3 linked regions of the Oryzias latipes genome follow. The protein of the gene in region 1 interacts with the protein of each later gene in a biochemical or structural test. Links are inferred from orthologs where the notes say so. Each region holds a gene or a part of one and is shown on either strand. Other genes may lie near its edges. The genes, in order: rnf4, sumo1 and ube2w.

Region 1 (4,127 bases):
CATGCAGAACTCTGCTCAGGCTAAAGGACCTCTGGAGGATCTAGAAATGTCTGACACTAAAACAGAAGCAGAACCTTCAGCCATCAGGCTCTGCTCAGCTGGAACTGGTTCTGGACTCGGGAGTCAGAAGGTTCTGAGAAACACTTTTATGAGCCAAGCTGCTGTTCTCACAGCATCAAGAGGAACAAAGTTAGGAAGAGAATAGATTGCTTTCACAGGTGGACAGCTGTCTGCATTTCTGCTGTTTTTCTAAACGTTACCTTTCCATGAGACAAAGGTTCTCTTTAGATGCCGAGTTTTTAGTTCTTTAAACGGGTTCTGGTTCAGACTTCAAAGGCAGGTTCGTTCATGCCTCTCACCCGTGCATTTCTCTTACCTCAGAGTACAGATCCAGACAGACCGGACAGCTGATCAGGCCTGGCGTCGACCTGAAACCCAACAAGAACCCAGTGACTTTTACTTCAAGAACCTGAGGAGCTTTGCTGCTTTCTGTCCTGGTTCTGCAGAACCATGAGCCCTACTCAAACTGATGTGAGTCCGTCTGTGTTCTCCACCCTCCTGTTTTGAGTTCACACTCCGCTCATCCCTTTCTAAATATCACCACAACATTTACTGTGACCTCTATGGATTCGGGGGAGCTTTGGTGTGCACGCTCCCCCGTCGAGCGTGCACACCGGGACGCTCCCAACTCCCCTGAACTAAACGCAGGCGCAGAGTTCGGTTCTTCACCTTGATGCATGTGCGGCCGCCGCGGTGGCGGCGCTGCTGAAAAGGGGCGTGTCCTCATCTTCATCACTGCTCAGGACGTAGCTCTCACCTGCAGGGACTGTGCTGCTCTGAGGATCTAACACAAACAGAAGGTCAGGTGACCCTCAGATGACCTGGTGACACACACTGAGGTCCAGGAGGACTTACCCTCATCCACCAGCTGGAGCGCAGAGACAAGAACAAGAGAAGAACATCAGCTTACAGCCCGTTTCCACAGCCCCCCCCAAAGTGAATGATGAATGACAGAGCGTGTTACCAGCACAGAGTCGTTGTTGTTGGTCAGGTCCACCACAGCAGCTTCTGCTCCCTCACAGGTAAGGTCCACCACCTCCTCCACACCTGCACACACCAGCCGTCGGTTACAAACACCTGAGGACAGCGAGGCCGTCAGAACCTCCAGGCAGCACTACAACCACCTGCTTTGATCCCTGAGGAGAAGCTGCTGCTGTGTTTGGGTCTAGAGGTCAGACTGAATCTTCCTCAAAAGAAAAGCTTCTGCTGGAAGCGTCTCCAGACCATGACACTTCCACTGCCGTGCTACAGGATGAAGACAGAGCCAGCTGAAGCTTACAGCAGACCCGTGCTCTCAGAGCAGAGGTTTAAAATGAGCCTAAACCCCATTTCCAAGTGAATCCTGGGGAAAAAAAAGGCTCCCGGAGGCTGACACACTGACCGTCGTCCGTGTTGTCCATCACGTCGATGGTCTCGGCAGGGGGAGCGGAGTCTGCACCGGTATGAGTCCCCCGGTTGACCGCTCTCCTGGATTGAGCAACTCTGCTGGTCTTGATGCTGGGCCTGGAGACCCGAGGACTTTCGGTGGGCCTTCTCTTCCTCTGGGCCTGAAAACACATGAACACGCAGGGCCTCAACCACCTCAGGTGAGCTCAAAGGCTGACCTGACACCTGGGAGTCAGGTTCACAACAGTCACAGTGAGCATCACTGAAGCAAGGAAAGCTGCTGCCAGTTTTCAGTGTGGTCAGAATGAAGCTCCACCCACTGCTCCACAGAAGCTTTAGGTGGAAACTGCTGACTGCAGCTCAGAGCAGCTTCCACAGAAACTGCTTTTTTCCAGATGATGATGGAGGAAAGCAGACGTTCCTTTATCATTACAGGGCGTGATGAAGAGAGGCATGCAGACGTACAGAGCTACTCATGTCCGTCCAGGAGCTGCGGGCGGCCGGGCCTTCGGAAGCTGCGGGGGGCCGGGCCTTCGGGAGCTGCAGGGACCCAGAGGAAGGGTTAAGGTTAGGATTAAACCCCCAAATGGTTCCTGAGCACTGCTGTTTCTGCAACTCGCCGCTCCTCCAGAGGATGGATCAAAAGAAGGTATCTATTTTTATAAATAGATTACTAAAACTGTCCCATTTCAAACTGTCGCGACTGCTTTTCAAACGTCGGGAGAGTTTCTTCTGTTGTCATCTGTGAGGGACTAGAAATGTTTGGTCAGACAAGGAGGATTAGGGGTGGATTATGTCAGACTTTTGTATGATAGAAAGATATACAAAGAGAATGTCAGGCATGGCCCATTGAAACATTTTGTTAAAATGCATTAATCTCCATTGGTTTAAAACATGTACTCTACAATCACAGAAGAAAGACGTTTGATCTTCCACCGCGCCACGAAAAAAGCTCCATCCAGCACCAGCAGTGTTTCCCTGTCCTCAGCTTCTGTTTTGTGCCTACACGCTTTCCGTAGCAGGTACAATTGGTCATTTGTCCTCAGTTATATGATTTATTCATCTGCTTTTTATATCAAAAAACTATTTCATAACGTCTCATTCGAACAAGCTAACAAGAACACACGTGCAGAGTGATTGGAGCAGTTATTCAACCACCGCTGGCTGCAGTTAGAACTGACGTACAGAGTCACGTGAGGAGCCGGTTTCCAAAGTAAACCATTTCTGTCACAACACCAGCATTTCGGTGATCTCTTTCTCGACTCTTACCGTTTGATGTTGCTGTCGTTTGCTGCTTGGCGCCTTTTCGGCCTCTTATTTTACTCCAAAAGTGTTATCCGAAGAACTGAGTCTGGTAGAGGCTATACACGCTGTCTGGACCGAGTCAGAACCGAACTCAGGACCACTGACACCATCTGGGAGAACAGTGGAGTGTGGGCCTCTATCTACTTCCGGTCTGCGGGCTCTTCTTCTGCAGCTGCGTCTGATCTGAAAGCTGCAGCGCCACCGTGTGGACAGGTCACCTTGTGTTTACCAAAATAAAACACTCAAAGGAAAATGGTGTTTTGAGTTTTTGACATATTTTTGCGGCATTTTTTTTCATCATGGGGCAAATGAACATATATAAAAAAAACTAAGAATAAAAAAGCATTTCTAGGCATTTTTTTTCCAAATCGTGGTGAATCAAGAGCAGATTTTATCCTTAGTTTTAGAAATGTAAATTTAAAAAAAAAAAAAATAATTAAAGATATCTTTTTAATTTAGCATTTACAAAACGTCTTTTACTTTTTTATTTGGCCTTTGAGTATTTTTTGATTTATCACTTATACATTTTTACCCTATTATTCTAGACGGTACCTTCTCAAACCATCAGCCGTACCGGTTTGACCATTTTATAATCATCTTCTGATGTTTTTAGTCTTTGATGTGTCATGATTTTTTTCTTTCATCCTATGATTGTGTCTTTTATGTTTAGTACCTTGGATTCTACCCTTGCTCCTTGATAGTTAGGTGCTCTGTAAATACATTAATGGAAAAATATATTTTTGTTTTGTATTTTGTTTTTAATAGCTTTTCCCCCTCTGTCAGTTTATCATATATAAACTAAACTCTGCTGAGATCCTGTTTCTGTCCTTTCCTGGTTCCTGTCTGAGCTCAGCGTGAACGTTGAAGACGTGTCTCGTTAACATCCTGCTGTGCATGCGTAGAAGGACCAAAAATCATGTCTTAGTCACTGCAAAACACTGAAGAAACTCGCTTCAGCTGTGTTCACACAGCAGGGACCCTAGTGGGCAGAGGACCAGAGTCTGAAAAAAAAGAACTTAGTTACATCAGAACAAAGAGTTTGGTTAGACTGTCTCATCTCTATCTCAGAACCTGCAGCTGCACCAATGTAAACGTCTGTGGAGCCATCAAGGGTCTACAACATGTGTCAAACTCAAGGCCCACCATGTCATTTTCTGTGGCCCGCCAGAGCATAAAAGCTTTTAATTTCTTAAAATAAAAGTTGGTGTGTATTTATTCATATCTAGGGGGAATCTGACTTGAAATATCAGATTGGGGAACTAAACATTAGGACTTAAACACTGTCTATATAACCTAACCTGACAGAATCAATTGTTAAAGGATTTATGCTAGAATAACAAGCAAACATATGTTTTCTATGCAACTGGAATTGTCAC
Region 2 (3,845 bases), on another chromosome or scaffold:
TCAAAGTTAGAATATTGAAGATTACATCAAATCAAACTTTATTTATATAGCTCTTTTCCTACAAAAGCACAACCGAACGTGCTTTGCACCAATACAAAATAAATAAATAATATAAAAACAAACACGAAAACTATATATACATTTAAAAAACGCCTCTCTCACCCTCCGCGGGTGGTTTCTCCTCCAAGCTCGGGTCCTCTACCAGAGGCCTGGGAGCTTGAGGGTCCTGCAGTATCTTAGCTGTTCCTAGCACTGCGCTTTTCTGGACTGAGAGGTCTGAGGTCTTTCCAGGGATCTGTTGTAGCCACTCCTCCAGCTTGGGGGTTACTGCCCCGAGTGCTCCAATTACCACAGGCACCACTGTCACATTCACTTTCCATGCTTTCTCCAGTTCTTCTCTGAGTCCCTGGTATTTCTCCAGTTTCTCATGTTCCTTCTTCCTGATGTTCCCATCGCTTGGCACTGCCACATCCACCACAACGGCTTTCCTCTGTTCTTTATCCACCACTACAATGTCTGGTTGGTTCGCCATTACCATCCTATCAGTCTGGATCTGGAAGTCCCACAGGATTTTTGCCCTCTCATTCTCTACCACCTTCGGAGGTGTTTCCCATTTTGACCTTGGGGTTTCCAGTCCATATTCTGCACACATGTTCCTGTATATTATTCCAGCTGCTTGATTGTGGTGCTCCATGTATGCTTTCCCTGCCAGCATCTTACACCCTGCAGTTATGTGCTGGATTGTTTCAGGCGCTTATTTGCACAGCCTACACCTTGGGTCTTGTCTGGTGTGGTAGATCTGAGCCTCTATTGCTCTGGTGCTCAGGGCTTGTTCCTGAGCTGCCAGGAGGAGCGCATCAGTGCTGTCCTGTAGGCCAGCCCTCTCTAGCCATTGGTAGGACTTCTTGATATCAGCCACTTCAGTTATGGTCCGGTGGTACGTCCCATGCAGGGGTTTGTCTTCCCATGAGGATCTGTCCTCCAGCACTGTATCCTCTGCTCTCCATTGCCTGAGACATTCACTGAGCACACTGTCGGCTGTCGACTGTTTCATCCTCTCTCTCTCTCTCTCTCTCTCTCTCTCTCTCTCTCTCTCTCTCTCTCTCTCTCTCTCTCTCTCTCTCTCTCTATATATATATAGTTATTTATTAAATTATCATAAAATGCTATTTTTTAAGCCCATGTTAAAAATATATAAATTTAATCTAAACATATATATTGCATTTGAATATTGAACAGGAGTAAAGACTTCATAATACTGGAAAAGGCAAGGTTTTTGTATGAGTGTGTGTGTGTGTGTGCGCGCGCGCGCTTTTCTTATGGAGACAATCCGCTACAAAACAAATTCCTTCACGCGACTTTTATTTTGAACAGCCCTGCGTCACTTCCGTTTGATGTCGCATTCCTCACAACATAAAGCAAGAGCCACCGCTAAAAGCTAACGCTACACCTTGAAGGGATTCCCTCCCCCTCCCGCACACAGTCAGGATAAACATGTCAGACACGGTAAGAAAAAGAACGTTGAAGAGTTCGAATGATTTTCTGTCAACACTTTACTAAGAAATCGATAATGTGTTTGTTATGGACGCTGCCTCGTACGTGATTATCTAACAACATGCTAACCGTTAGCTGTTCTAGCTGCAGGCCTCTGACTGAACTTAGCGATTTTTTTTTACCCTCCACGTGAGCTTTTGTGTAGTTTTTTGAGATTTTTTTTTGGGGGGGGGGTCAGAACTGGTGCTGGCGGGACCGAACCCACACTCGTGTCTATGGTGGATGTTCTCTGTGTTCGTGGAACCCGCGGAGTAAACAGACGGGCCTTCCTCGAAAGCGTGCTAGCGGTCGCATCATGTAGCAATGTTTTGTGATGTTTCTGTCAGGAGACGAAACCTTCCAATCAGGACGGAGGCGACAAGAAAGATGGAGAGTACATCAAACTAAAAGTGATCGGTCAGGTAGGTTGTTTTTGTGTCTCTGCTTTTGTTGTCACTACTGTCTGCATTTAGAAATAAACCGTATTCTACTCCATTTCAAATAAAGTTATGGCACGTGGTGGTGTCTCTATTATTGTTTATAGAAGGCTATTATTTTTGGTCAATGATTCTGCCAATTCTTTATCATTTACAGATGTATTCGTTTTAATGCTGGAAGTTGTTATTGTTTTTGAGCTGCATCACCTTTTTGTGTGTGTCCGTTTCTGCCCACAGGACAGCAGTGAAATCCACTTCAAGGTGAAAATGACCACACATCTAAAGAAGCTGAAAGAGTCTTACAGCCAGAGACAGGTATGAAGAGGAAGACGCATCGCCACTTTTCCAATGACAGCCTTCGCAGATCCATCCAAATGCAGTTCCTTATGGTAGAACACGCCATTATTTAAAAAAAAGATAACTCTGATCATCTTTTGATCTATTGCAAAAAATAAAAAGTTCCTAGTGATTTTTATTTATTTTTTTGACACGCTCTCCCGCTAGCTTACTAAGACTCCCAAGCTAATATTAGCAGTGCAACAAAAATGGCGAGCAATATCGGAGCTATCCAGCTGCACAGTTTGGATCCGGATGCTCGGACGAGGAAAATAAAAAAAAGTTACACGAGTCTATTTGTCTGCAAGGGAGCCTTGTGGCTTGCCGTAGTAGCTTTGGAATCATACCTGCAACCTTTTTCCAACTAAGTTTAATTTTGTCTGCTCCTGATTCACAACGATTTTAAATATAAAAAAAAAATAACCCAATTTTAAATGTAATTTTAAGCTTAATTTTCTTTAACCCTTGTGCTATCCTAGGCCCTTTAACATTAGGAGTTGGGTCATCTAGACCCACTAGACAGTGCGCTTAACCTTTCTTCTTCAATGATTTGTGATCTTCACTGGTGTCCATGGATTACATGAAATCTTTCCACTTTTGTCATGGTAGGGAGAACACGTCAATGTAAGGGTGGGGTCATCTAAGATAGCATAAGGGTTACACCTAAAAGCTCGTCTATGTAATCGTTACTCGTGCTCCTAGCGCCTCGCGGCGGCGTTCAAGGAGAGCTGATTGAAGGAAAAATAAAAATCTCCTAATGGTCTAACAGCAGAGGATGACGTTTCTTTCAGGGAGTCCTGGCGAGCACGCTACGGTTTCTTTTTGAGGGACAGAGAATCGCAGATAACCAAACCCCAAAAGAGGTAAGCGACACTCGCAAGAGCGAAAACCAAGCACTAGTGGTCACTAAGGTTTGTGTTTTCTTCTGTTTTTTTATAGCTGGGCATGGAGGATGAGGACGTCATCGAAGTTTATCAAGAACAGACCGGCGGACTTTGGAATCATTAAAGCCACAATTTCTGATGTTTTTTTTTCTTCTTTTTTTTCCCCTTTTATTCATGTTTTTTATCATTTGGTTTTGTATGTATGTATGTATTTCTGTTAAGTTTCAAACCATCTGAATCAAAAAAGCAAAAGGACTCAATCAGGGCTTCCATGTGTGCGGTCGGGGAGGCGGACAGACCGAGGACTCGAACCTGTGGCTCTGCCGTCGGAGGACACTCTAAGATTTTTACCGGCAACCATTTCGCTTTCGTGTTTTAAATTTTTATTTTATCAACCTTGCTGGAATGATGTGCTTTTGCAGGAAAATGGTTTTTAGGAGCTTCTTCCTCCCCAAAATGTTTTTTAAAATTGTCTCATAGAGGAAATATGTCAGATGGCATTCTGGGTAAGTGCGGTTACAGAAACCGTAAAAAGAAACCGATCAGAAGCATACCAGAGCGGCATGCTTCTGATCTTTCCATCTATTCAAAACAAAAAAAGTTGTTTTCCTGGAACGGACCAAAGCGTCTGTCCAAATGAAGGGGGGCGGGGCTA
Region 3 (3,559 bases), on another chromosome or scaffold:
GAGTAGAAGCAGCTGGAATGAGGAAACTCTTTGCCATATTTTCACTGCATTATAATCTTTCTGCCTCCTTTACTGACCTTTTATATGAACAGCTGATCTCTTGAACTTAATCCTATAGCCTAATGTTTCTCCAGAAAGTAGTTGTAATAATAATCGAGTTTTTTTAAACTAAAGTAAGAAAAAATAACTTTTCCTTACTTTACTTGTTTGATCGTGAACAGGCCTTCATTCCGTATTAAGTTAGGAAAAACTGCGTTCATCTTTGTTTGTCACTTATAACTTTGAGTACTGTAACCTGTCTTTCCTCTGCGCAGGTGATGTTCACAGGGGAGAATATACCTGTTCATCCGCATGTGTATAGCAACGGTCACATCTGTTTATCTATTCTGACAGAAGATTGGTCACCAGCGCTCTCAGTGCAATCTGTTTGTCTTAGCATTATCAGCATGTTGTCCAGCTGCAAAGAAAAGGTAAGTAGTTGAACGCAGAAGTTCCTGTTCTTCCTGTTCTTCACCTCTTGGACATTTTTATTTATCTATTTTTATTTTTTTGGCAGAGACGGCCACCAGATAACTCTTTTTATGTAAGAACGTGTAACAAAAATCCAAAGAAAACAAAATGGTGGTATCATGGTGAGTACTTTGTCACTACTTTTTTGATTATAAATTTTTTTTTATCAATTTTAAACTGGCTTTCTTGTACTTTTCCCTCCACAGATGATACTTGCTAATGTACAAACTTTCTATTAATGGTAGAAGACGCAGCCCTACTGACCTACATGAAGCACTTTTTAATCCTTCAGTCTTTGAACTCTGACTTGTGACTGGAACATTGGAAACCAAGCGCAGGACTGCCTATCCCCCCCACCCCACCCCACCCCCCACCGTGGACAGTCGGCTGCATGTTTTTAGTTTGCTGTAACATAGAAAGTGGAAGTAAATGAACATTTGGATGCACCCACACAATATGGTTTGTGGCGAGACAGCCACAGTGCAGCGAGCAGGAAAGGAAGAGTTGTGGTGAGCTAATTATAATTCCTGTTTTAAGATTATTGTTACTTTTTTTTCCGTTTGTATTTAGGTGCATTTTAGGGTTTTGTGTCGTGCAATAATAACTGATGGATGCATGCTTGGGCCTACAAAGACAAAAATCCAAATCCAGTCATCATCTTGAAGGAGTCTAACCATCAAAACCCCAAGAAAATGCATCATCCGTTTAGTTTTTTTTCTCCTTTCACTATCATTGTTATGCACTGTGAAATGATTTAGTTTCAAAGAACCTGTGCACATTTATCCCCCCAACTTGCAGATGTACTGTAAGAAATCCTCCACCTATTTATCAGGTTTAAGGCTTTTAGTTTCAAAGTACAAACAGTTTCCACCTTGACACCTGATGGCAGTTCTTCCTGCTGTTGTTGCTACAGATGGAACTAAAGTGATATTAGATCTAAAGTTATTTAATGACCTCACTGTACATCTCCACTCGTGGTTCGGGGTAGTTGTCAGTAGTCCAGCCTTCAAGATGTGCAGCAGCTTATCTTCCATTTAAAGAATGTCTGTAGGGAAACATTGTTGCAGGATTCTTTTTTGTTTTTTAATTTGTACAATACTTTTTTTAAATATAGGCTTTAATTTTTTCTTCCTCTAAACTATTTGATTTTAAGTGTATGTTTTTTTTTGTATTCTTGTTTTGCCCTTAGCCGATACTTTAAATGGGGGATTATAGTAACAATTGAGGGTTCTTGTTTTTTTTTTATTTCTTTCCTAATTGTTACTTAATTGAAATCCTCATTTGATCTCCAGTGCAGCAGTGAATGATAAAATGAGGCTTTGTTGGAGTTGTATAGAGAAGGCATTTGTGATTTTTTTTTCTTTTTTTTTTTTTTTCTTCCCCTCCTGGTCAGAGTTGTGACTCAGGTACTTTTTCAATAAAGAGATCACCTCTAAAAAAAAACAACAAAAAAAAGAGAGAAAACTATCGTATATTTTGAATTAAACTATATTTGCACCAAAAGAGACTGTTATGCTGTAAACTTATAACATGTCTAAAACTCTTGTATGCTTTAGAACTATTGGATGATGTGAAAAGGTTTGGCAGATGGTACATTAACTTCCTAGCTGAGGGATGAGATGAGTGCTTATTTTACTGAAAATTAGTCGACATCGACATCTTTCACTACATTTTTTGCTGCGTACAGTCAGCGATAAACTTGTACTATAGGGGCGCATGCAGTTTTGATATTCTGATTTTGACACTAGACTTTCCAGAAAGTAGATGAGTCGTTGGGGGGGTATTACTACACTTCCAACCAGAGGATTTGGTCAATTCAGGCTGTAATCACTCCATTCCTCAAGCAAATGTTTATCACCATCCAGTCGGAGATACTTGAATTTTCCTTCTATTTTTTTGTATTTATGCCTACTTTTTTCCTCCCGTCGCCTGGTGTTCTTCCTTGATTGAACTAGAGTGAATGTGACTATAATCTTTATTGTACAAGCAGTTAAAACAGCACACATTGTTCTAGAAATTATATAGATAACTTAAAGACTCTTGAATTTTTTTTTCTTTGCTTTTCTGCAGTGGGTGTTGTCCAATGTGTAAATGCAGTCATGAAAGCATTCGTGCAACAAGCAGTAGATCAAAGGACATCTTCATCTGTTGGGAGTGATTATGTTACAAGGGTTTGGATGTGATTTCTTTATTTTTATTTTTAAAACAATGCTACCCCCTTTTTTTTATTTAATTTGTTGTTTTCAATGTGGGTTTGGACTCTTAGCTTGCAGACTCTTATGAGTGAAAACACTAATGAGGGTGAGTTATTTATATTTAAAATGTTATTTTGGGATGTGCAAGCTCCATGTAATAGGTGCCTGTTCATTTTCATAATCAATAAAAGCAAAGATTCACTTTTATTCAACATTTGGTTTGCACCAAAACATGACAGTGTCTTTTGTGTCTTCTGTAATTCTTTTTTTTGTTTTTTCCAAAATTGGGTCAAATCCTTTGACAGTGATTCTTGGAAGATGCATCAAAAATTTTCCCAGAGTACAGAGTGCCTTGTTTTTGTTGTCTGTCAGCTTTCGGCCGCTTTCAACCAAAACTCCCAACAATCAATCAGTCATAATCCCTTTGTACAATAGTGAATATTTACAACAGCCTCATTCACCCCCCCCCCCCCCCCCCTTTAGGTTGTTTTAGAGTTGTTTTAACCTGTGATACTCCAAAAGAACCTTAATAAATGAGATATTTTCTACAACATAAAATGGCTTTACAAATACAAATGTCCTTATGATGTGCTGTTCTTTTTTCCCCAAATTAAAATGTTTCACATTTTAATTTTTTCATTCATAGTTCTTAGGAGAAAAAAACATTCAATGGTAATCGTGAGCACAATGAATCACATCTGTGTAAATTAAAGATTCAGGTTGCTTTGCACTTGTTTTTTATTTATATATATATTTATATATATACATACAAATATTTATCTCGACAGTAACTTGGGGAAATATAACCTGAACAAGTCGCGCCCTCTTGTGGTTGTTTGCAATACTACGCCAAA

The links.
Region 2: the proteins of rnf4 (region 1) and sumo1 form a complex in vitro, tested with the Homo sapiens proteins (5 studies listed by BioGRID, with this or other methods). The link is inferred for Oryzias latipes from reciprocal best matches to the Homo sapiens genes RNF4 and SUMO1.
Region 3: the proteins of rnf4 (region 1) and ube2w form a complex in vitro, tested with the Homo sapiens proteins (2 studies listed by BioGRID). The link is inferred for Oryzias latipes from reciprocal best matches to the Homo sapiens genes RNF4 and UBE2W.

Annotation. Positions count from the first base shown.
Region 1 is NC_019868.2:3,826,098-3,830,224, forward strand, and holds the start of rnf4 (E3 ubiquitin-protein ligase RNF4), read right to left. Parts: upstream 2,920-4,127; 5' UTR 2,716-2,919; intron 1,987-2,715; 5' UTR 1,924-1,986; coding exon 1,912-1,923; intron 1,608-1,911; coding exon 1,442-1,607; intron 1,108-1,441; coding exon 1,025-1,107; intron 929-1,024; coding exon 916-928; intron 845-915; coding exon 730-844; intron 429-729; coding exon 377-428; intron 1-376. UniProt on the Homo sapiens protein: E3 ubiquitin-protein ligase which binds polysumoylated chains covalently attached to proteins and mediates 'Lys-6'-, 'Lys-11'-, 'Lys-48'- and 'Lys-63'-linked polyubiquitination of those substrates and their subsequent targeting to the proteasome for degradation.
Region 2 is NC_019860.2:9,899,742-9,903,586, reverse strand, and holds sumo1 (small ubiquitin-related modifier 1), read left to right. Parts: upstream 1-1,473; 5' UTR 1,474-1,494; coding exon 1,495-1,506; intron 1,507-1,880; coding exon 1,881-1,955; intron 1,956-2,207; coding exon 2,208-2,285; intron 2,286-3,097; coding exon 3,098-3,169; intron 3,170-3,245; coding exon 3,246-3,314; 3' UTR 3,315-3,335; downstream 3,336-3,845. UniProt on the Homo sapiens protein: Ubiquitin-like protein that can be covalently attached to proteins as a monomer or a lysine-linked polymer.
Region 3 is NC_019878.2:16,095,027-16,098,585, forward strand, and holds the end of ube2w (ubiquitin-conjugating enzyme E2 W), read left to right. Parts: intron 1-314; coding exon 315-470; intron 471-556; coding exon 557-632; intron 633-716; coding exon 717-730; 3' UTR 731-2,938; downstream 2,939-3,559. UniProt on the Homo sapiens protein: Accepts ubiquitin from the E1 complex and catalyzes its covalent attachment to other proteins.